Tamandua tetradactyla: one gene and its partners. The protein of the gene in region 2 purifies or fractionates together with the protein of the main gene of each other region. This does not show direct contact. Links are inferred from orthologs where the notes say so. Each region holds a gene or a part of one and is shown on either strand. Other genes may lie near its edges. The genes, in order: PSMA7, PSMG1 and POMP.

Evidence for each region.
Region 1: the proteins of PSMG1 (region 2) and PSMA7 purify together in Homo sapiens (affinity purification with mass spectrometry; 3 studies listed by BioGRID and IntAct, with this or other methods). This does not show direct contact. The link is inferred for Tamandua tetradactyla from reciprocal best matches to the Homo sapiens genes PSMG1 and PSMA7.
Region 3: the proteins of PSMG1 (region 2) and POMP purify together in Homo sapiens (affinity purification with mass spectrometry; 4 studies listed by BioGRID and IntAct, with this or other methods). This does not show direct contact. The link is inferred for Tamandua tetradactyla from reciprocal best matches to the Homo sapiens genes PSMG1 and POMP.

What each region holds. Positions count from the first base shown.
Region 1 is NC_135327.1:59,722,391-59,729,435, forward strand, and holds the start of PSMA7 (proteasome subunit alpha type-7), read right to left. Parts: upstream 3,061-7,045; 5' UTR 2,950-3,060; coding exon 2,854-2,949; intron 403-2,853; coding exon 276-402; intron 1-275. Other genes in the region: SS18L1 (calcium-responsive transactivator), read left to right, coding at 3,556-3,624.
Region 2 is NC_135336.1:102,646,896-102,654,361, reverse strand, and holds the start of PSMG1 (proteasome assembly chaperone 1), read right to left. Parts: upstream 3,065-7,466; 5' UTR 3,013-3,064; coding exon 2,879-3,012; intron 1-2,878. Other genes in the region: BRWD1 (bromodomain and WD repeat-containing protein 1), read right to left, coding at 6,541-6,932. UniProt on the Homo sapiens protein: Chaperone protein which promotes assembly of the 20S proteasome as part of a heterodimer with PSMG2.
Region 3 is NC_135330.1:193,920,297-193,927,294, forward strand, and holds the start of POMP (proteasome maturation protein), read left to right. Parts: upstream 1-3,930; 5' UTR 3,931-4,043; coding exon 4,044-4,046; exon of another isoform or gene 4,047-4,087; intron 4,088-6,523; coding exon 6,524-6,621; intron 6,622-6,998. UniProt on the Homo sapiens protein: Molecular chaperone essential for the assembly of standard proteasomes and immunoproteasomes. Degraded after completion of proteasome maturation. Mediates the association of 20S preproteasome with the endoplasmic reticulum.

The DNA of each region.
Region 1 (7,045 bases), on a different chromosome or scaffold from region 2:
GCCAGCTCTTTTTACAGTTCCAAATAATTTCTTTTCTTTTTTATTCAGGGCCGGGGGGGAGGCAGTGGGGATGCCTGGTCCAGGAATTGAACCCAAGTCTCCTGCATGGAAAGTGAGCATTCTTCCACGTAACCATCCGTGTACCCTCCAAATAATTTCTTTTAAATGTTTTCAGCTTCCCCCGTCTTGTAATAACCCATCCACCCAAGCTGGACTCCACTGCTCTGCTCTGTGCTAGGACTCTAAGAAGCAGAATACTGTTCCCAGACACATACCTGCAAATGCCATGCAGACGTTGTCATCTAGCGCACAGATCTTCCGCACCGTTCTCTCATCCTGCAGTTTGGCCACTGATTTCTTCTCCACACCAAGAACAACGATATCTTTTCCTCGAACACCAACCTTCAATGAGAGCCAACACACCACTTAAGAAAGCAACATAAGGCTCTGCCCCTACACAAAGAAACACTAAGAGCAGAAGACATTAACATAGATCACAGACATCCTGGGGAAAGCAGCCCCAGAAGGTGGGGGAGCACCTCCCTCCTCCATTGGCTGACATTACACCCCAAATGTCACTGGTGGAACCAGCACAGGTATCCTGACCTAAAGTGCCTGATGCTGTCTGTGCCTTTAAAAGACCATTATGTAGTTCCAATGGCAGCATAACTAACTAAGCACCATATAATCTGTAACCCTGTATCATTTCACACTAATGAACCAGCAAAGCAGAGGGCCTTTAAGCCCCAGACCCAGATATTCAAGCCAGGTATTCTGGAAGCGGTGTTTTCTGGAGCTGTGGAGTTATTCCCCCACCCCTCTTTTCTGTGCCTGAATAGCCAAGGCACACAGCTGTGTGAGGGGCCGCTTTTCATGGAGGGATGACTGTATCAGCATTTACTGGGAGGTCAAACTCTCCCCTTTCACAGCTGACACTTTAGAGGAGACAATTGGTGTGGCCATTATTAAAAAAACAAAAAAACACCGATGGCCAGTTAACCCCTCCAGTCAAGACAGGAACAGACATGTATGGCACAGTTGGAGAAGTAAAATCCCCTCTTACTTCAGAGCATGGAGCATGGTCTCTCAGCCTCTGCAGGATGGGCATTTTAGGGCATGTAATTCTCAGTTGTGGGGCGTCCTGGGCACTGTGGGATGTCTAGCAGCACCCCTGGCTGCCACCCACAAGATGTCAGGAGCACCCCCCTCCTGAGACCTGACCACCAAAAACGTCTCCAAACGCTGCCAAATAACCTCTGCCTAAATCGCCACTGACTGAAAATGTGTTTGAGTTTCCAAGGGCTTTCTCTTGTTCTGTCTTACATGATCTTCAAAGTAATGGTGAGGGAAAGAAGCCCAGGCCCAGAGAGCTCGGTGGGTTAAGCAAAGCCACAGCTTTCACACATAGTTCTGTGAATTTTTGAAGTGTTTTCATTTCTTGAATTTTTGGTTGTCTTGAAACTCAGGCTCCAGGTCTATCTGCTGGCCTAACTCAACTTATACAGCACTGGGAGAGGAGTCGGCTGTCCCGCCCCCCATCCCCACTCCCCTTGCTGCCCCAGCAGCCAGCTGTGGCTTTGCTTGACCCACTGAAACCCCTCAAATACCAGGTGATTAAAAAAAAAAAATCTATCATGCAATCTGACCAATGAGAAAACAGACAACTATCTCAAAGACACCATGGGTGTAAACTGCAAACAGCAACACCAAGGGTACCCAACATGCGCGATAGTTCTGGCAAGAGGTACCTGCTCAGATATGAAGTGACAAGGGGTTGGATCACTGCTGAGCCTCGGACCCAGGACAGCCTGCCCTGCCACCTATGAGGACCACTGCCTCCCTCTCCTTTCCCCCGGGTGGGGAAAGACCTGTAACACTCCCCAGCTCTCTTGTTGCTCCGCCGTGCATCAGCACCCACACATACCATCCCTGCACCCCAGGTTCCCTCGGCCTGCAGAGTGCAAAGGTGAAGGCCCAAGATGGCCGTCACCGCGTCACCTCGCCGCGCTAGGGACAGTGCACCCTGACAACCAAAGATGCTAAAGAGAGACGAGAGTGACTTTGAATCCTGCACTTCTCTCGGGGACCTCTGCGGTTTCTGAAAACCACTAGTAAACATCTACAGTTTATGACCTTCAAATTAAAATTCAACGGCCCACCTTGCCGCCCCAAGCCCAAACTATAGGGAATAAACGGCCCCACACAGTGCGCGTGTTCTGCTTTTCTGTGCAAACAGAAGAAAGCGACACCGACACTTCCCCAGCGGGACAGCAGGTCACGAGGACTTCCCCAGTTTGTCTAAGGACACCGACGCCGCCGTGCCTTCCCCGGGCGCTCCGCTGATGTCACTGCGCTGACTTTAAGAGGCAATTTACCAAGAGGCTGCTCCCTAGGCGAAGGCGAGGCGGTCGACAGAGCGACTCGAGCGACGCATGCCGGGGCCCACTGAGAACACACGCTCTGCGGCCAGGGGGAAGGCGGCTCGGGGCTGGGCCGCTCGCCCGCGCCCCCGGCACTACCACAGGTCCTGCTCGGACACGCGCAGCCGGCGCCCCAAGCCTGGGCTCCGAGACACTGCGCCGCAAACGGCAACACGGAACCGCGGGCCACAGCACGGAAACGCGCGGGAACACAGCAGCCCTGGCGGCGGGGTCCAGGGCGCCCACCCCCGGGCATGACCCCAGGTCCCCCGGCCTCCCTGCTTGTTCCGGGGCGCGCACCTTCCCGACGACGACCCAGGGGCAGCCCGGCCCTCCCCGCCGCCGGCCAGCCAGCTCCACTTCCGCCCGGATCCCCGGCCTCGCGCAAGGCCCGGACCCGGGCTCCCGCCAACCCCGCCGGGTGCCGCCTCACCGCGGTCGAGCCCTTCTTGACGGCTTCCTGAGCGTACTCCACTTGGAAGAGGTGGCCGTCGGGCGAGAAGACGGTGATGGCGCGGTCGTAGCTCATGGCCGGAGGCGCGGCCGCAGCCTGGCTGACGGAGAGCTGTGGCCGCCACCGCCTCAAAAGCGCACACTCATCGCTGCGCACCGCGCGATTCCCGACGCCACTGCGCCGCCGCCGCCGCCGGCCCCCTCGCGGCCTACGCTGCTCTACGCTGGGGGCGCCCTACGCTGCTCGCGTCTTACGCTGCTAGTGCTGTACGCGGCTGGCACCTTACGCTACTGGCGCCGTACGCTGCTTTACACGGCCGGCACCCTACGCTGCTGGCGTAAGGCGGCGTGCGGCGCGCTCCCGCGCCGGGGTCGGAACAAACCACTGCGGCCCGGCCGGGGGTGGGGCAGTCAGTGACGGTGGTGGGGGCGAGGCGTGCTGGGCTGTTGTTGGGGATCGCACCGCGGGGCTCGGGCTCTGCCGTAGCCGGCGCGAGGGCCCGCGGGCCGGAGGGCCGGAGGGTGCGGAGGCGGCGTCGGGGTGGGCGAGCCCACGATGCGGCACCCCCCGCGCCCTCCCCTCCGCCCCCCCACCGACTGCGGAGAATGAGAGCCCTCGGCCGCGGAGCGCAGCCGGAGAATAAGCCCCTCATGATTAAGGCCTGAGCCCCGCGCCGTCGACATGTCCGTGGCTTTCGCGTCCGCCCGGCCGAGGGGGAAAGGGGAGGTCACACAGCAGACCATCCAGAAGGTGGGCGTGGGGCGCCCCGCAGGTGCTGGCGAGTGCGCACGAGTGCCGGGACGCGGGAGGGCGGCGGGAACAAAGCGCGGTGTGCAGCCGGGCCGCCGGGGGCACCGAGCCGTGCCCTCAGGGGCGCTTCCGGAGCCGCGCGCGCCGAGCCCGGGCCAACTTTGTTGGGGGCTGTCCGAGTGGCAGGGGCCCGAGCGACCGGCGGGGGATGCCTGGGTTGGGTGAGAGGCTGTGGGTTCCCCGCCGCCCCTCGGGGCCCCGGGGCGCGGGCTCGTCTAGTTACGCTGCCAGCCTGGATGGCGAGGACGGCGGCGGGCGCCACTCTCCGCGGCGCACACCTCAGCGGGCAGGGCGGGGACAACCCCGGGTGGTCGCGCCCCGCCCGCCTCCTCCAGGTGCCGACCCTTGGATCACCCAGGGGTGGGTCCCCCGTGAGGCCGGGCCGCCCCAGGGGCTCGATGGCTGACCCGCGAGTCGCCGGCTCTTCGTCGCAGGTCGGGCTGATTTTCAGCGCGACACCCGGGCCAGCAGCCACTCTCGCCACAGAAATGTTCAGATCTGCTTCGCATCGTTTCCCTTCTCTCTGAGTTTGGTAATGTGGTTTCTGGAGCTAGCATCACCTGCATTGGGGGACACCTTTCACCAGCACTTTGTCAACAGAAACCTTCAGTTTTGACGGTGAAACGTTGCATGTCCTACCATTTCTCTTTAGAAGGCAGGTTTAGCGGAAAACCACCGTTGAGCATTCCTGAATTTTCCTAACGTCTTGGGTAGCTTCGCTGACTTCTTTTCCACACTGTGGCTCTGTCTTCCCTGGACGATCTGCCCAGTCCTTTGAGGAAATTGTCCTTAACCTGTCACCTGCTAGGGTTCACCTTGCTCTGGTTGGTGCTGGTGTTTAATGGTTTTCCTCTTTTTTTTTTTTTTGACCTGGGTAGGCACCGGGAATCGAACCCGGGTCTCCAGCGTGACAGGTGAGAATTCTGCCCTTGAGCCACTGTCCCATGGCCCTTAATGGTTTTAATAAAGAGTCTCAACCCACTCTGAACAAGAAACAGCTGACTGGAGCAGCAGCAGAGAATTGGGTTTAGTTAAATTGTGTACCCAGTTATTGTCATAAGAGTGGTCAATCTTAACTCATTTAATTTGCAGAGGGGGGTAGTCGCTGTTACCCCAATTTATAGATGAGGAATCTGAGGCAGAGAGAGGTTAAGTGGAGCTGGGAGTTGGTTCCAAGGTCTGCTCTGACAGTGACAATGTGTCTGGCAGAGGGTCAGGCACTGGCCTCAAGGCCCTGCTAGCAGACCAGGGGCCCTTGCTTGGGCCTTAAGTGTGATGAGCTTGATCCTTATTCCTGAAGCCACCTTGGGCTCACAATCACCCAATTATTTGCACGTTGCCAAGCCAGCACTAAAGCTCTCCAAAATTTCTAGGCAGGAGTGCATTATGCAGCTATCCCTAAATGTGGTTTGATCAGAAGGAAGGAAAACCTGCTGACCCTGCATCCCAGGGCAGAGATAGCCTGCTACTTGTTGAAAATGGGTCTTCAGTTCGGGCTTCCAGCAGGCCTTACCTGGTAGGGCCAGCAGTCTATATCCTCACACCTTGGCATTTTGACAGTAAATATATGTACTCAGGTCTTTTATTGGGGGCATGTGGCAGGTGCATAGTATATACTGATGTGTGCTGTGTACACAGCATGTGCTAGAAACTCATCCCAAGGGTGTTGGGAAAAGCCAGGGGTTCCTCAGAAACCTGTGTGATGATAAAGAGGCAGGGAAATACAACTTGTTCTTAGAGCTTATCTGAGAAAGAATTCTTCTGGGCAAACTTCTACTCAATCTTCAAAGCCCCACTCACATATCCCCTCAGTCGTATGTCAGTGTATGTGGTCAATATAGGTCTTTCACACCTTGCTTAGGCTCCCAGGCAAGTTTACTGAGTTATTCTTTGCTGTACTCCCAGCCTGGCCTGGCACTTGGACAGTCAATGTCAGAATATACAGAATCTCTGACTGTGGTTCTGCCAGTGGGAGTATTTGGGGATTGATGGACATGTGGAGGGGAAGGTATTCCAGATGAGAATAACCAAAGGAGCAGACATGGGAGGTCTAGAAGTTTGAGGGAGTCTTGTGTGGCCCCATATGCGGCCAAGCACGTGGTTAAGTACAGGAGTGAGATGCAGTGCACTTTGATGAGAAACACCAAATCACAGAGGACCCCACTTTCCAGGGACACTCCACTGTCCCCTGTACCTGAGTGACTGACTCCCTGGCCAAGACCTGCCCTCCTTTGCTTTCCACCAACTCAGAACCCAAGTATCCCTGCTCTGAGGCCCCTGATGCCATGGTTATGTGGGGTTGTGAAAAGGCTTGGGTACCTGGAGGGGAGGGGGCCTGGATCTCATTGGGTTTGCAAGGTGCTTCCTGCCCCCAGGCACACGGGAACTTCTCAGTGTAAGTTATCATTACTGTTCATGGTGCAGTGGGGAGATACAGAGCAGCAGCTCTCTGGAGAACAGGGCAGAGCTGATGAGCTGGGCCAACTTGTGGTATGGGCCTGGTAGAGGGATGTGAAGCTGGAGAGGCCTGGGGCCTGGGAGCCCAGTCGGGGAGTGGTTGAACTCAGACTAGCCCTGCTCCAATGGCTCCCATTCCCGGTGAGGGATGCAAGGGTAAGAGATGGCCATCTGGCCAAGGGATGGGTAAGTAAGTGATGGGTGGATGTGTCTAGGCACGGGGTGCGTGTCTGCACAGTGGTTGGTACCTTGTGCTCTCTAGACCAGGAGTCTGCTGTCTTAAAGAACGTGGGCTAATTTGTTAGGAAGATAAATTAACTGTTTATGACATTAGAGCTGTTTTTGGCAACTGTAAATGGTCCGAGGGACTCTCCGCGCTGTGCGGCCTCCTATTAACGTGGCTAATTGATAGTTCTTAGGTGGTTATTACTGACGCGCTTGATCCCCAGTAAGCCGAGGCCCTCCTGGGGAAGGGAAGCACAGCCACCTATGGTTCCAGGTGCCGTGGGGCTGGACTGCCCTAGGTGGCTTCTCTGGTCTTGCTGTGCTGTGAAATGCCACACAGTCAGGGGTCTGCTTGTCACAGCCATCGATTGCACTTGAACCTCAGCTCTGCAGAGGCTCTGACTACAGCTTGTGCATGTGGGGCTGTGGTGGGAAGGGTGTTCTCCAGGAGGGAACAGCCACAGCCAGGCCTCTGTTCCCTCCTGCCCAAAAAACCTGGCAACGTGTCCTGCTGGGGCTCTTCCAAAGCAGATACTCTGGCCGGTTACCCAGATCCTTGGGAGCCCCTTGATGCATTCGGATAAAGATGCCGTTCCCCATCTTGTCTCCCTTCTTTCCAAAGCTGCTGGCTCCGACCCTTACCCACCCAGCCCTCTGTGTGTCCGTTTGTCTTCTGTCT
Region 2 (7,466 bases):
CAAGAGACAAAACCTCTAAATGTCATGTGTGCTTCCTGTTAGGAATCTGATTCACACAAACCCACTGTAATATGTCATATTTGAGACAACTATCTAAACTGGACCATGGACTATTAGATGCTATCAAAAACATACTGCTAACATCTTCAAGATCTAGTAATAGGAGGTACCTTCTTAAATTTTACACCTAAAGCACAGGAAGTAAAAGAATACACAGACAAATGGGAATTCCTTAAGATCAAGAGCTTCTGTGCCTCAAAGAACTGTGTCAAAAAAGGTGAAGAGGCAGCCAACTCAATGGGAGAAAATATTTGGAAACTACACATTGGATAAAGGCTTGATATCCTGGCTCAACAACAGAACAAACAATCCAATTATAAAATGGGCAGAGATATGAATAGACATTTTCTGAAGAGCAAATACAGATGAAGAGATGATCATTTCATTAGCTAAAAGGGTAATGCAAATTAAGACAATGAGATATCACCTCCTACCTCTGAGAATAGCTGCTATTAAACAGAAAACTACAACTGTTGGAAAGATGTGGAGAAATCGAAACACCTATTCACCATTGGTAGGAACGTATAATGGCACAGCCGTTGTGGAAGACAGTTTGGTGAGTCCTCATAAAAAATAAATATTGAGTTAACCTATGACCCAGCAATACCAATACTCAGTACATATCCAGAAGAACTGAGGTCAGTGACATGAACAGACATTTGCACAACTATGTTCATAGCAGCATTATTCACAATCACCAAAAAATGGATGCAATCCAAGTGCCCATTAACAGACAAGTGAATAAACAAAACAAAATGTGGTATATACATATGATGGACTATTAAGCAGCAGTAAAACAACATGAGGTCTACAGCATATGACCATATGGATGGACCTTGAGGACATAATACTGAGTGAAATAAGCCACACACAAAAGCATACTGGATGCGTTTGCCATCATGAATCTGGTAAAGGTAATCTCAGAGGTTACACTGTAGAATTTATAGCAGATCTAGAGGTACACAAAAGCTAGAGACAGAGGAGAGGCTACCCAAAGAAACTGAATCTAAATGCAAGGGAATGGATTGAAGTGATGGTACCTAACTGGTGGGGTTCTAAGCAACACTGCCATACTGAAGGTGAATATGATTGAAAGGGGATGTATAGTGCCATGTGATTAAATCTACAATTATAAATAAGTTCTTGCATGAACTATTTTGGTGGTTCGGCAGTGAACAAAGTTAGTAGAGGGATATGGGGGAAAACTAAAAATGCATACTATGGCCAATAGTTAACAGAACAGTACCACAACACTAATGGGGCAATTAATTGGGGGGCAGAGACAAGTGATAAGGGGTAGTTTTGATTTGATAGTTGGTGGCATTGTGTTTGCTGGTTCTTTGCTATATGAACCATTGAAAACTGTCGAAAATTGAGAGTGCTGCTGATTGTACAACCAAGCGAGGATACTGTGAGACATGGCTGTTCACTGTGGACATTATCTATAATGCCCAACACAAAGGATACAATGACAGAAAAGCACAATGGCGAATGATGGTCATTTATATGGTGGACTATGATGCAGCTACAAAAAGGAAGGCTGTTGAGAGGCACGCAATGAACTCAATAAATGTTGGGGACAATATGTTGTCCAAAATAAGCCAGAAACAAAAGAAGAAATATGCTAAGATCTCTCTCAGAAAATACTTATAAAAAAATGGTAGCCTAGACTGTAAGCCCTTATAGCAGACACACTTAGTCTGAAGTTGTAGATGTATTTCTAGATTCTGAGACACTGAGTTATGTGTGTACCAGCAGGTAGTTCCCTGGATCTACGAGTAACTTGGTGATATCTAAGACCCAGAAATGGAGTGCTACAGCTCTGAGAGTCAGCATGGCTATATGCAATACAGCTAAAGTAACTGAAAAAGATATCAGGCCTCAATTAGAGTTTACAAGGAAGCCGATCTGGCTGGGTCTAAGGTAAATTAGAATGCAGGGTAACAGATAACAGCATATGTACGCTAGGCTTCCATCTAATGTATGAGACCAAAGGCAGAGAGGTTTATTACGTCTAGAACCTAAATTTCCTGTAATACACAATCTAAATCAACCTGTCTAGACAGCTCATTTAAACAACCCAAACTCCTGAACAGGAACAAAGCCTTGTAATTCTGTATAGCTTAATATAATATAATAACTGGATACATTTCAGACTATGGTGGACTGATAAAGATTACTGGTAGAGTCCCTTGATGGTCCAAAGGGGAAAATACATACATACATACATACATACATACATACATACAAACATACATACACACATACATATTTTCCATAGGTTAACTATTGAACTATCCCATTTGGAAAAACCCCAGGTACCCTCTCAACTACTGGGGACTCCCAAGAAAATAGGACAAATCCTTGGTTTTGAGACTTGCCCTTATGAAACTTATTTCTGTAGGAGGCCTAAGAGTTCTTTCCAGGAAACCTCTTTTGTTGCTCAGACGTGTCCTCTCTCGCTCTCTCTCTCTAAGCCCAATACTGCAAGGAAAATCGCTACCCTCCCCTATGCGTGGGGCATGACAACGTGGGCTACATACAGCAAAGGCAACGGAACCTGGAGGCCGCCCCGCGGGCTCCTGGCAAACATCGCCTCAACAACCCAGGCTCGCACCAGGTGCAGGATCGCAGATCACATGGGGCTACAACCGGAGTTTCAACCTAGGTCTCTGCCTGCAAAGACCTTGCGCCCCTCCCTCACTAGGCTCGGTCAGGGCGGGAACTAAACGCGCTTCCCGCACGCGGGGAAACCCGGCACCCGCGGCCTGCCCGGCCCAGCGCGCTGCCCCGAGAATTCCCGAGCCCAGGACCGCACCTCTTCCGCGACAGGTGCTGCCGGACCTCCCTGTCCTCGGGCGACTCCCTCCTCCTCTCCTCTTCCTCATCGTCGTCCTCCGTTCCGGCTCGGCACGGCGCCTTCACTACCTCCCCGAAGAACGTAGCCGCCATAGCCCGTCACCGGCCGGCCCCGCCCATCTGCGGCGCCACGGGACTGCGCACGCGCCCCGGCGCCCCGCCCACTGCCCCACGCGACACTTGACCTCCGGGTCGCGCTAGGGCGGAAACCCGAGGCTGTTTCTCCGGCTGCCGGGTCCCAGCGGGAAGTCGGGGGAATGAGAGGACTACCCGAAACGAGCTGAGGGCGAGCGCAGGGCCAGGGCCCGCGGGGGCCGGGCCGGCGCGTGGCTGAGTGGAACGGGACCTCTTTGTTTTCGGAGGTCGCGGACTCGGGGAACAGAGGCGCTGGGCCGCCCTTTCCCCAGGCTGTACATTTCAGGGACGGGGCCCGCCTTTCCTCCAACCCGTTTCAGTTTACTTCTCGGTCATGAGTGAGACAGGTGAATTAAAATTATTAAGCACCCGGCTCCGAACCTAGGCCGCGCCCAGCTTAATGCTGGCCCATCGTTCCGAGGCTCGGGGGTCTAAGGTCTGGAAGAGGACGCCCACCGGGGGCGGGCACCCGGCGCCCCGGACCGTCAGGTACTGCCCTGCGCCTGTGTGGGCGGCGAGGAGCATGCACGGCACAGCGGACAGAACGGAGGAAGGGCAGAAAAAAAATACAGTGCTTCGTGGTGTTATGAAAATGAAACTTTACTCTGGCGGTAGGAATTCACATTTCAAAAGCTGATGATTGTTCAGCTGACCTAAAAGACTTTTTCTTAAGAGTGCAAAAATAGTTGCTTCCTTTTTTAAACTTGGCCGTTTCTAACTAATATAAAATTAGTTTTTCTTTTAAGTAGCCTTTCATTAGTGAGCAAAATATGTTAAATACGATTTTTACTGGGCTCTCTTCCTTAAAAGGTGCTGGAAAACAAAGTTTGCAGAGCACTATTTCAAGCAGGAGAAAAAGGAACTAGCATAGTTCCTAGATTTAGTTGTGCTGAAAACAGACAGCATCGTTTGCGTTTTGTCCCCTTGTCAATAAATAGCCACAAGTTACGACTACTTCGGGGTCTGGGTGAGCATCTTTTTTTTTGTTTGTTTGTTTAATGACAAACGCTCAAAGTTAATAGAAACATCGGTTCTAAATGGAAATAACTTGGCCTACTAAAGATTTTGAGAAATGATAATCAGCAAAAGTGTTTACATAGAATCAGTATTTAGCAATTTTGCACAACTATTTCAAAAAAACGTTTGTGTTTTGAAGCAACATTTAAACATTTAAGTATAAAGTAGTAAAACCAAATTGTTATCCAGCAAGAGCTTAGGAAGGTTTGGGTATCCTTAGTGAGATAGACTATACAGAATTACCAATATAGTATTTTAAAAAACACATTAGGATTCCTGGATTAGGTGAGCTTATAGAATGATTGAATTGCAGAATATAAAGAGTGGGCTTCACTCCATTTTAGACCTTTTGTTGAAAAAATAATTTGTCATGTTTTTACCAGTAAAATCCCCAATTTGATTCCACGATTAAATTATGTAGAAAAATTTTCTGGAAAGCTGGTTTAAATTATTGTAAATAGGGTAATGTTAATACATTTGGCCCTGATTTCAATTCTGCATACATACTTGTAAGAATGTTGTTTTAAATAAATGCTTATTACATGCAGTAACAAATTTAGGCCAAGCATTAAAAAAGGCAAATGTATGTACAAACTAAATATTAAACTAAAAAAGAAATACACTATGAAAAGCGGCTTATGAATACAATCTCAAAAACTGACATAAATTAATTTTGCCATGGTAAATAATAAATTCAAAGTTCAGATTCTTCTATAACACTGACATTGTTCAAGTTTTGCGTAAAATAGACAAATATTTTCATTATATGGTTGGTATCTGTTGAGATTATGCTATACCCAATAAAAGTTTTCTATGAAATTAAGTATAAGTATGGGAATAATTTATACTTTTCATTAGAGCTCAAAACCCAACCCCCCATTCACTCAAAAATACTTAATTTATTAGCAATTCTTCCCTTCTTCATTTGTATGTTCACAAGATACTGGTATAAGTATTTCAGATGAAGGGATACTGCAAACAGAGCAAAGGACACAGACTTTGTGGGTTAGAAATATGCTGGTTTATGCTAACAGGAAAAAAGACTTTTTTTTAACACACATGAAACCACAAATTTCTCAAGTAACCTAGAATCTTGGTCCATCTGTATAATCAAAAAATATGCATTCATTTTTTTTGATAAAAATGGAATAGAAACTCCTAGGTTTCTATATTTTACTTTTTCAAATTTATACATGCAAATCATATATTAATATTCACAGATATTTTGAAATGGGAAAACAACTTGGTCCTAACAATTTAGTTTTCCAATAGCATATTACTATGTTGAGATTTGACAGTACACTCATTTAACTTGGCGACCTTGATTTCAACAAACACTTATTAACAACAAATTAAACTTCACTGCAGAGAAATTCTTTGTAATATCATGACCAGATTTGATAATCCTGTGAAGGCCACAATGAAATAGCCTAGACATGCTGTCACGAAAGTCTGTTGTAATGGGATTGTGATCAAGTTTTTTCAAGTTTTGACTTTTAAGGTGCTAAGCTAACATGTCCAAAAAGAAACATGATAGGGCTTCATTGTATCATCTAAAATATTACTTTTTTGGTGTTAATCTCTACTTTTTACTTTTGATTAAAATTAAGACCTGCCTCTTAATGAGGTACATTTTGGTATCTCTTTAAAAACATGGAAAAAGAAATAAGGAAAAGAGTTGTGATAGTCACATTCATAGCTTTCATAGAAAAATATATATTCCCTGAATTAGTCATAGCAAGTGGTCATCATTCAGTATGAATTCCAATATTATAAACAAAATAAGACATTAATGGGTTTTCTATAATTGCCTATTTCCAACACTACTTTATCACTCAATTATCAACATCCTCATCTTTGAATCCATTGGTCCCTTCTAGTTTAAAGTTCTTGTTTCTGACTTTTGGGGATGTGGATTACAGGCTGAGTTTAGCTAAGGTATTTGCTTCGTTCAAAAGCAAATAGGCTCAATGGCATTTCCTGTTAAAATGTGCCTCTCAATTTTCTTTTTCTCTGATTTCAGCAATGACACCTTAGTTACCTGGATTTTCATATTCTAATGCACATCCCTTAAAATTAGCATCAGGCTGAGATATTTTTTCCATCTTGAAGTGTTTTCCTACATATTCTGTACACTTTTCCATTATTTTCTTTCTCTAAGGAATCAAGATTGATTTCTCCAAGACCCTTGATTTCTAGAAAGGAATGGTAATCTTAAAGGCCACTTTTCACCTCTCCAACTACAGGCTCCACACTCTATTTCCTCCTTAGCATTCTCTGGAGTAGTCTATAAAAGGGCTGGCTGGAGGAAGCCTTTCTCCCACTTTGACCCACTGAATTATGGCTTTTAGAAAATTCCTCAAAAGATACCAGCAAGGGATTTACTTAAAACTAGAAGCAGAATGCAACTGCCAGCTAATATTTGTAGCCCCTGTTTGTTTTCAGATTCCACTTCTACATTTTCAGTCACTATTGTGCTTTTTCTTTCCAGGATCTGAACCGCCTTAAAAAAAGCATTTTGCTATTAATATCTTCTAGCTCTTTTTCACTTTCAAAATTTATGTTTGCATCATCCTCTTTATAAACATTCAGTAATTTTTTCTTAGCCACAGCAGCAGCATTTCGATGGGGCAGTTTTCTGCTACTCTTCCTAATACATACATTTTCTGGTCCTGAAATAGTTTCTTTTACATTACTCATTATCTTTATTTTATTTGCAGCAACAGTAGCACATCTGCGGGGAATTTTCTCAGGTACCATTTTTGCTTTCAGAGTTTCACTAGGCATTTGCACTGCGTCCTTCTGATTATGCATACATGTTCTCATTTTTGTATTGGGTTCTCTGTCTCTAGGAACAGATTCTGAAAAATGAGTGAAAATTCATGTAAATGTAAAAATCTTGTTACACAAGATGTTACTACTAGTTACATTCCTCAACAGTACTCACATTCCTAAACAATAAATGTTAAAACATAATTAGACAATCATCATTGATACTACACATTTGGGACACTGAAATAATATTCCATTTACTTATCTATAAGAACAAGCCCTGGGTTAGAAGCTGTTTGATGTCCCTCCCAACTAACCTACGTTTTAAACTGTAAGGGTAACTGTCACCTCAAACAGTAGCAGACATGTAAGTATCTTAAGCATCTTAAAGCAGGTAATCTAAAAGCACTATTAAAAATTTGAATTTTAAAAAGTAATAGAACCATATATAGGTTTTAGATTTGGGGGCGATTTCTAACCGTGTTAAGCAACTTTAAAATACTGGGAGTTCTGAAACAATTTTCCTAGAACCTAAAGAAGAAAATGCCAGCATTTTGATGAGTGTTGATGACAGCAACAGCTCTGGCTTCAAGAAGATTTCTTCAAGAAGAAACCTTTTTAAG
Region 3 (6,998 bases), on a different chromosome or scaffold from region 2:
AGGTGGGAAAGAATAGGACATGGTTGGGAACAACAGTTACATGAGTAGGATTTTTGTCATTATGATAAATTTCTTATTTAAACTTGCTAACTGTCCAACTGCCAAAAAGGAAAAAGGAATTTCCAAAAATGTACAAATTCTTTTAGAGATGTTTCAGAACAAAAGACTAATTTACATGAAAAACTGTAGAGAAAGTAGTTGAAAAGTCCATTCATAAAGCTTTTATTCTCTTTACATCAATACATGTGTTTTAACAATTATGCTTGGATTGACCAACAGCTTTTGCAAAGGAACTCAGCTACCTCCATTGTATTATCATTAACAAATTTTTCACTTCCTAGCAATCTGTTTTCTGCTCTCACCATTTTACTTCAGTTGCTCACCAGAGTATCATACACATGACATCCCCCTTGCCTAAGGCCATAGATTTTCTCTTAATTTCAAATTAAATACTTGCCATCATTGGTCATTCCTTTATCTTAATATTATACTTTCCTCGGCTGTAAGACAGATTCCTACCTCTTTTCTCCAAGCCTCTTTTACCTTGTCCCAGGTTCTAAGAGACACTTCTATATTAGACTTCAACATCTCTCTGTGTGTGCTGCCTGCAGGGCGCAGGGCACTGTGTCGTCCAAGCCAGCTTTAGAGGCTTGCACGCCCGGGGCCTGAGCTCAAGCAAAGGGCTGTGGTCTTGGGTGCAAGTGGCCAAAAGAGCCAAAAGTTAAGTGTAATTCCAAGTCTTTAGAGAGCACTAAAGGGCTGAGTGAAGAAACATAACTCAGGGACATGACTGAGGTGCACGAGTAGGATGCCAACAGGAGAGAGCAGAAAGAAACTAGGGAGAGTTAGAAGACGGGAGGAGGGTTTTTGCCAGCTGTGAAGGAAGCTGAGGTTTCCTTGGTTTGCCTATATGGGTCATCAGACTGGCTTAAGAATAAAGTCAGAGTAGGTAAGTAAAACAAAAAAGGGTACTTGCTCTCAAGCAATGCACACAAAGCTTGTTTCTTCTATACAACGTTGAATAACGGTAATGCTTCTCTGTGATGGTTAGTTTTGTGCGTCAACTTGGCTCGGTAAAGTTCCCAGTTATTCAAACACTGCTCAGGGTGTTTTTGTGAGGAATGTCGTAGATGTGCTTAGCATCTACGATCAGTTGACTTGAAGATTATTCTCTATAACGTGTGTGGGCCTCGTCCAGTCAGGTGAAACGCCTTAAAAGCACAATGAAGTTTCTCTGAAGGAGAAATCCCATCCCATAATTGCAGCGTTGACTTTTGCCCAAAGCTTCCAGGCTGCCGGCCTGCCCTACAGATTTCAGACTTGCCAGCCCCCAGGATGGCATGAACCACTTCTTTGAAATAAATCTCTTAATGTATCTATCTATCTATCTGTCTGTCTGTCCTGCAGATTCTGTCTTCTGGAGAACCCTGATGGGTACACTAGCTCATGGGGCAATTGGGGCCCAAGTGAAATGTGGTATGTAAATAACTAAGCACAGGGCCAGACACAGAACAGACATCAGCTATCGCTATTATTTAATTCCCCAAACTATGCAACAGCTAAAGCTTAAACACGGATACTAAACCATCCTAATATCAAATCCAATTCCCCTAGCTATTTAGTATACTCAGAACTGCCTTGCATTAGTTAATGCTAAAACAGACCTCTTTAAATAGGATGGGAATGTAGGACGTGCACTGCTCAAAGCAACTGTTTGTCCCTGCTGCTCTGGTCAACTGCCTTCATATTGGTCATCAAAGGCCTATTTTCAGGACTTACAAGCTCTTTTTGTGGTTGTCATTCAAATTTTACAGTGTCTTTTCTTCCTCATTTATTCATGACCTCCTTTTGACTACTTTTTAACTGCTTTCTAACTTCTCAAAACATTTTCCCTCTTTGGATTCTAAGATATCACTTTGGTTTGGCTTTTCCTTTCACTTCTCCCTACCTCTTCTTGGTCTCTTTGGAAGACCCTTTGAATTCTAGTATTTCTCAGGTTTATTCCTGTTTTTCACCTCAACTCAAAGCTTTTCCAATACCCTACTCTACCTTAATTTACTTCCATTATTTCTTGATCAGTCTATTATCAACAGCCTATAAAATGATCTGGTTCCTAGTTTCTCCCAATCCTAGTCTATCCCTCATGCTGCTTCCAGGATAATTTTTAAAATACATATTTTAAAATATGTGTAAATAAATATATATACAAATTTATATATATATGAAGTATTTGTGACTAGAATTCCATTATCTCCTGTTGCCCACAGGAGAAAAATCTAAATCCTCAGCATTCCATACAAGGCCCTTCATTTTGACCCAATCAATCTCTCCAACCTCATCTTTCTCCCTTCTACTCACCCAGAACTCCAACCACATGGAAATGTACTCCATTGCTTGGGTCACAATATGCCCTTTCACAAGTAACCTGCATTTTCATGTTTACTCTTCTTGCCATTTTCTCCTGTTTCCAACCAACTTTCCCCCCCAACCACTTTCTGAGCAAGCTCCCTTGTGTATGGCAGAATTTATCATATACCATCTTAAACATATTTACATTATCTATTCCCCCTGGAAAATTTAAGCACCTGAAATTTAGGGAAATGCCTTTTTCTCTTCTATAGCTCCAAAAATCTAGCACCAAACAAGTGTGCACAGATACTTACTGAATTGTGAGAAATCAAGTATTAAATGAATTTTTTTTAAGTTGCAATTTAAAAACTTCTCCTTAGGTGGACTAGATTGATAGGAAAAAGTTAAAACGAAACACTCAAGAGCAAATCTCAAGGTAAACAAGGATATCTTGAAGAGACAGAAGACACATAAGGAAGGTAAATGTGGACTACCCTATACTTTCAAGGTTGTATGACCATGGCAGTGGATATACATAATAAATATAATCTTATCACCGCTATTCATTCCCCTCCTTAAACTCTTTCAATGGCTTTTTTGAAGATAAAGCCTCATTCTACCAGGCCTCATCTCAGGTCACTCTCTACCTGAACTTTAGCCACACAGGTCTTCTTTTCCATCTCAGAGTTTTTGCACAAGTCGATCTTCCAGCAATATTCTTTCATACACCTTTCTACCTCAAACTAGCTTGTTCTCATCCTTAAGAATAAGGATTCTTTAAGTTACCTTCATTACATGCTGGCAGTGTACAAGGAGGAGTTATCACACCACATTTTGGAGATAATACAGTAGTGACTCACACCGCAGAACAGAGACTTGGGCTGGGTTCCTGGACATATATATTTAACCTCTTTATGGGTTGGTTTCCTCACCTGAAGAATTAAGATGTTGAAAAGATTATAGCAGATAATTCAGGGAAAGCAATTACAACTGTGCTAGGTCTGTACTAAGAGTCCAATATATGTCAGCAGTTTTCACATTTAAATGCTTGAACTGTCACTTCTCCCCCTAGAGTTCGTCTGCACCTCTGGCCCAGAGTACACTTCAGTCTGATTCATTTCTGTACTTCTAGCTTCAGCACAGGATCCTGACACTAGGGGGTTTTCGGTATACAATGATTAAAAATAAAACCTGTCAAAAGACTTGGGTCTCACTTCTGCTTTAACAGCTGACCGATGTTAAGCAAGTCACTCAACACACCCAAGACTGGATTACCCTTGGGTAAAACGAGAACTGCCGCGTCTCCCCTGGCGGGGCTCTGCCTTTACGGGTCTACAGCAGCAGAGCGCATCTGTAAACGCTGTAGCTTCGGTACATGTTTATCACCAACAGAGCTCAGGGCCGCGTTTACCCCCCGCCACCCCGCTTCGGCACGTCCCGTCCCAGCCCACCCCACCCCGCCCCGCCCTCAGCCCACAACCTCCCGGCGCCCTCGGCGCTGGTCCCTGGGGACCGCAGGCGTGGGAGCCCCGGCCGCGTGCCATTCCCTCCCGGCGCCCGCGCCCCGCTTCGTACCTCGCCCGGAAGGACGCACTTCCGGCGGATGTGAGGGGGGCGGGCCACGGAAACGGAAGTGAGCGGCGGGCCGGCTGACGGTAACGGGGCCGAGAGGCGGTGTGAACAGCGGGTTAAAGATGGTGAGTGGGCCCGCTGCTGCCCTGGCTCCTGGCGGCGTGGGGTTCAGGCCCCGCAGGATCCCGCGGCCGCCTCCCAGCCCGTCCCGCGCGGTGGTGGGGGGATGGGGCAGGCCTCGGGCGCCATAATCTGCCGAGTCACGGCGTTGGGGGAGGCCCGGGCGGCCCACGAGCTGGTCCCGCGAGCGGCGGGGTTCGGCTTTATGCCCTTCCCTCGCGCCTTCTCCCGGTCGCGCCTGCCGCGCTTCAGTTCCTCCAGCAGAAGCCGGCCACTTCCCCTTAGGTGGAAAGGGCGAGGCCGAAAGTGCAACAGCTTACCGGGGGTGACGTCGCTGACCACCCTTTCCCTGAGGGGATAACCTATGGGAGCCCTGAGACCTCAGACTCCCAACCCAGCCTTGGGCCCCTGCCCTGCAGCCGGAGTGGGAGGCAAAGGGCTTTGGTGTGATGAGCGTTTCGGAACTGCCTTGATAAATAACTGCACAACTGTAGGCCGCATTTGTGTAACTTCAGCTGCACATTTGTGAGGGCTTAGAGGATACCATCCGTGGTTCTTCCTGTTGAGAAGAAAAATCAAACAGTTGCTTCCCTCCCTTTGTCAGTGTCGTTAGTGCATCGCTCTCTTTAAACGGAAAACAAGGAGAAACTGAGAGACTTGACAGTTGTGACCTTTGGAAAAGACTCTTGAATTACCACTGCCACTGACTAATGTCAGTACTGTTGGGCCATCCAAATCTAGAACGCTTTTGTTAGTAAATGGTAATCGTTTTAAAGAAGTCTCAAATTGTGATTGATGGTACATAAATTTTCATACATTTGTTCTTTGCTAGTTTATTAGAAACAGCAGTACTGATATTTTATGGAAGGAAAATTGGAATAATGATAAGGTTAGAACCCAGAGACCAGAATTCCACTTTTCCTCTGTTATTTTACAATAAAGTGGTGTAGCAGGAAGAGAATGTTTATATAGGGAAGTAACAGATGCTTTGGGAAAGGTACAAACAGTTCTAGTCCTGAAGATGTTCACCTACGTGGTACTGATAAGTAAGTAAACGGTCCATTGAGATCATTTGAATTGCTTGCAGTCATTAGTATAGCCCACATTAGACTGCAGGCTAGATTTTTTTCCCCCTGATCCACCATGACTTCTTTGAAAGTTGAAATCTGTGAAGGTCCTTGAGTTGCAGGCTGAGGACTGTTCTTAAAGGCTTAATTCTTCAGACCAGACATTGAGCCAAGTACTGGTTTGGTATAGGGGAGGTTGTGTTTTAGGAAACCTTGATACATGGAAAGACCGAAGAAGCTAGAGGCGGCAAGACCCAGAAGCATGCTGTTGGAGTTACCCGAGTGTGAGACTCAAGTGGTAGATTGAGGAAACCTGAGACAGAATGAAGTGCCTGACCAAATACATATGCTAGTTAGTGGAGAAAACCCGTTTAAGCAAGCTGAGTTCTTTAAAATAGTGTAAGACTAAACCAATTATCTGCAGCTGTTTTACATTATTCTTCAGAATTGCCAGGTGTATTGCACTTGAACGAGTAATTTAAAGTCAACATTTGTACTTTACTTGTTCTAACACTTAATCACATTTTATTTGCTTATTTAATGTATCTCCGTTAGGCTAAACCCTAGGAGATAGACTTGTATTTTCTGCACCTAGCATAATACTTGACACATAATGGTAGAGGCATAATAAATACTTTTTAATGAAAGTTTCACACTATGAATGCACAGGATGACAAGACATCAGTACCAAATGCACTGTGAGTCTTTTGCTTTTTTTTTTGTTTGTTTTATACTTTTATCCTGATTAGATATATATATATATTTTTTATAGGTGGTACCCTCCTCTTCTAGAAACCAAATTTTCTGAAATTCTTTGTTAGCTTCTGTCACCACTTTCTTTTAGCTATTGTCCATTGTTAAGCCATTTCACTGTTCTCCTTCCTTGTCCCTAAGGAGTGGTTTTCCTCAACTTTCTTCATTCTGTGCTAATCATTCTCCATAGACAACCTAGGGAAGAAATCTTTCTGAAGAAAGCAAATTTGATCATGCCATAACCCTTCAGAGGTGCTCTTTCAACTTCAGAATAAAACTCAATTTCTTTGCATGTAAGCTTTTCACTTTCTAACCTTTACTTCTGCTTCTTTCATACATGTGTTTAGTCAGTCATTTCAGACTACTTGTAGGTTATTCATTTGTTTTCATATCTTTGTATATGTTCTTTCTTTTTTCCTGCTTCAGAGATTATCCCAAGACCTTTTCCCAACTCCATCCCCACCCCAAAACTTGGTATAATATTGTATCCCTCTAGTGTAATACTTAAGGCGTATCATTTTCCAGACTGTTTGAGAGCGGAGGCCCTGTCATTTCTCTCTCTCCAGTGTTCAGTTTTTTTTACATAAGTATTATGTGTGCGGTTTGTTTTTGTTTTTGTTTTTAATTAGTGAATGGTTTAATGGTGTTTCTTTGTGTTGTAGAATGCCAGAGGACTTGGATCTCAGCTAAAGGACAGTATTCCAGTTACTGAACTTTCAGCAAGTGGCCCTTTTGAAAGTCAAGATCTTCTTCGGAAAGGGTAAATGGGAGTTTTGACATTTACTTTGTTGGTAGTAAAATGTTTTTGTGAATTATTTTTTACAGTATTCTTTAAATATTTTGATATGCCATAAGTGTATATTTAATTTGGGAGATATTAAGTAATATACCTTGGCTCTGGGGCGGGGCTGTTGGGGAAGAGTCTTAGATCTGTAGTGCAAGAAGCATCTTAACAGAGTTGTGGTTAGGAACCCTCTTAGGTTAAGTACCCGGTAGTGTGATTTGGCGGGGTTCTTGTTTTGGTAACTGATAACTTGGAGAGCCAACTACTTCCTTCTTGCAGGAAGGATTGCAGCAAGTTCTTCTCTTTGAAACACACCAAGGCATAGCCCTTAAGACCAGGAATTACCTGGGTTT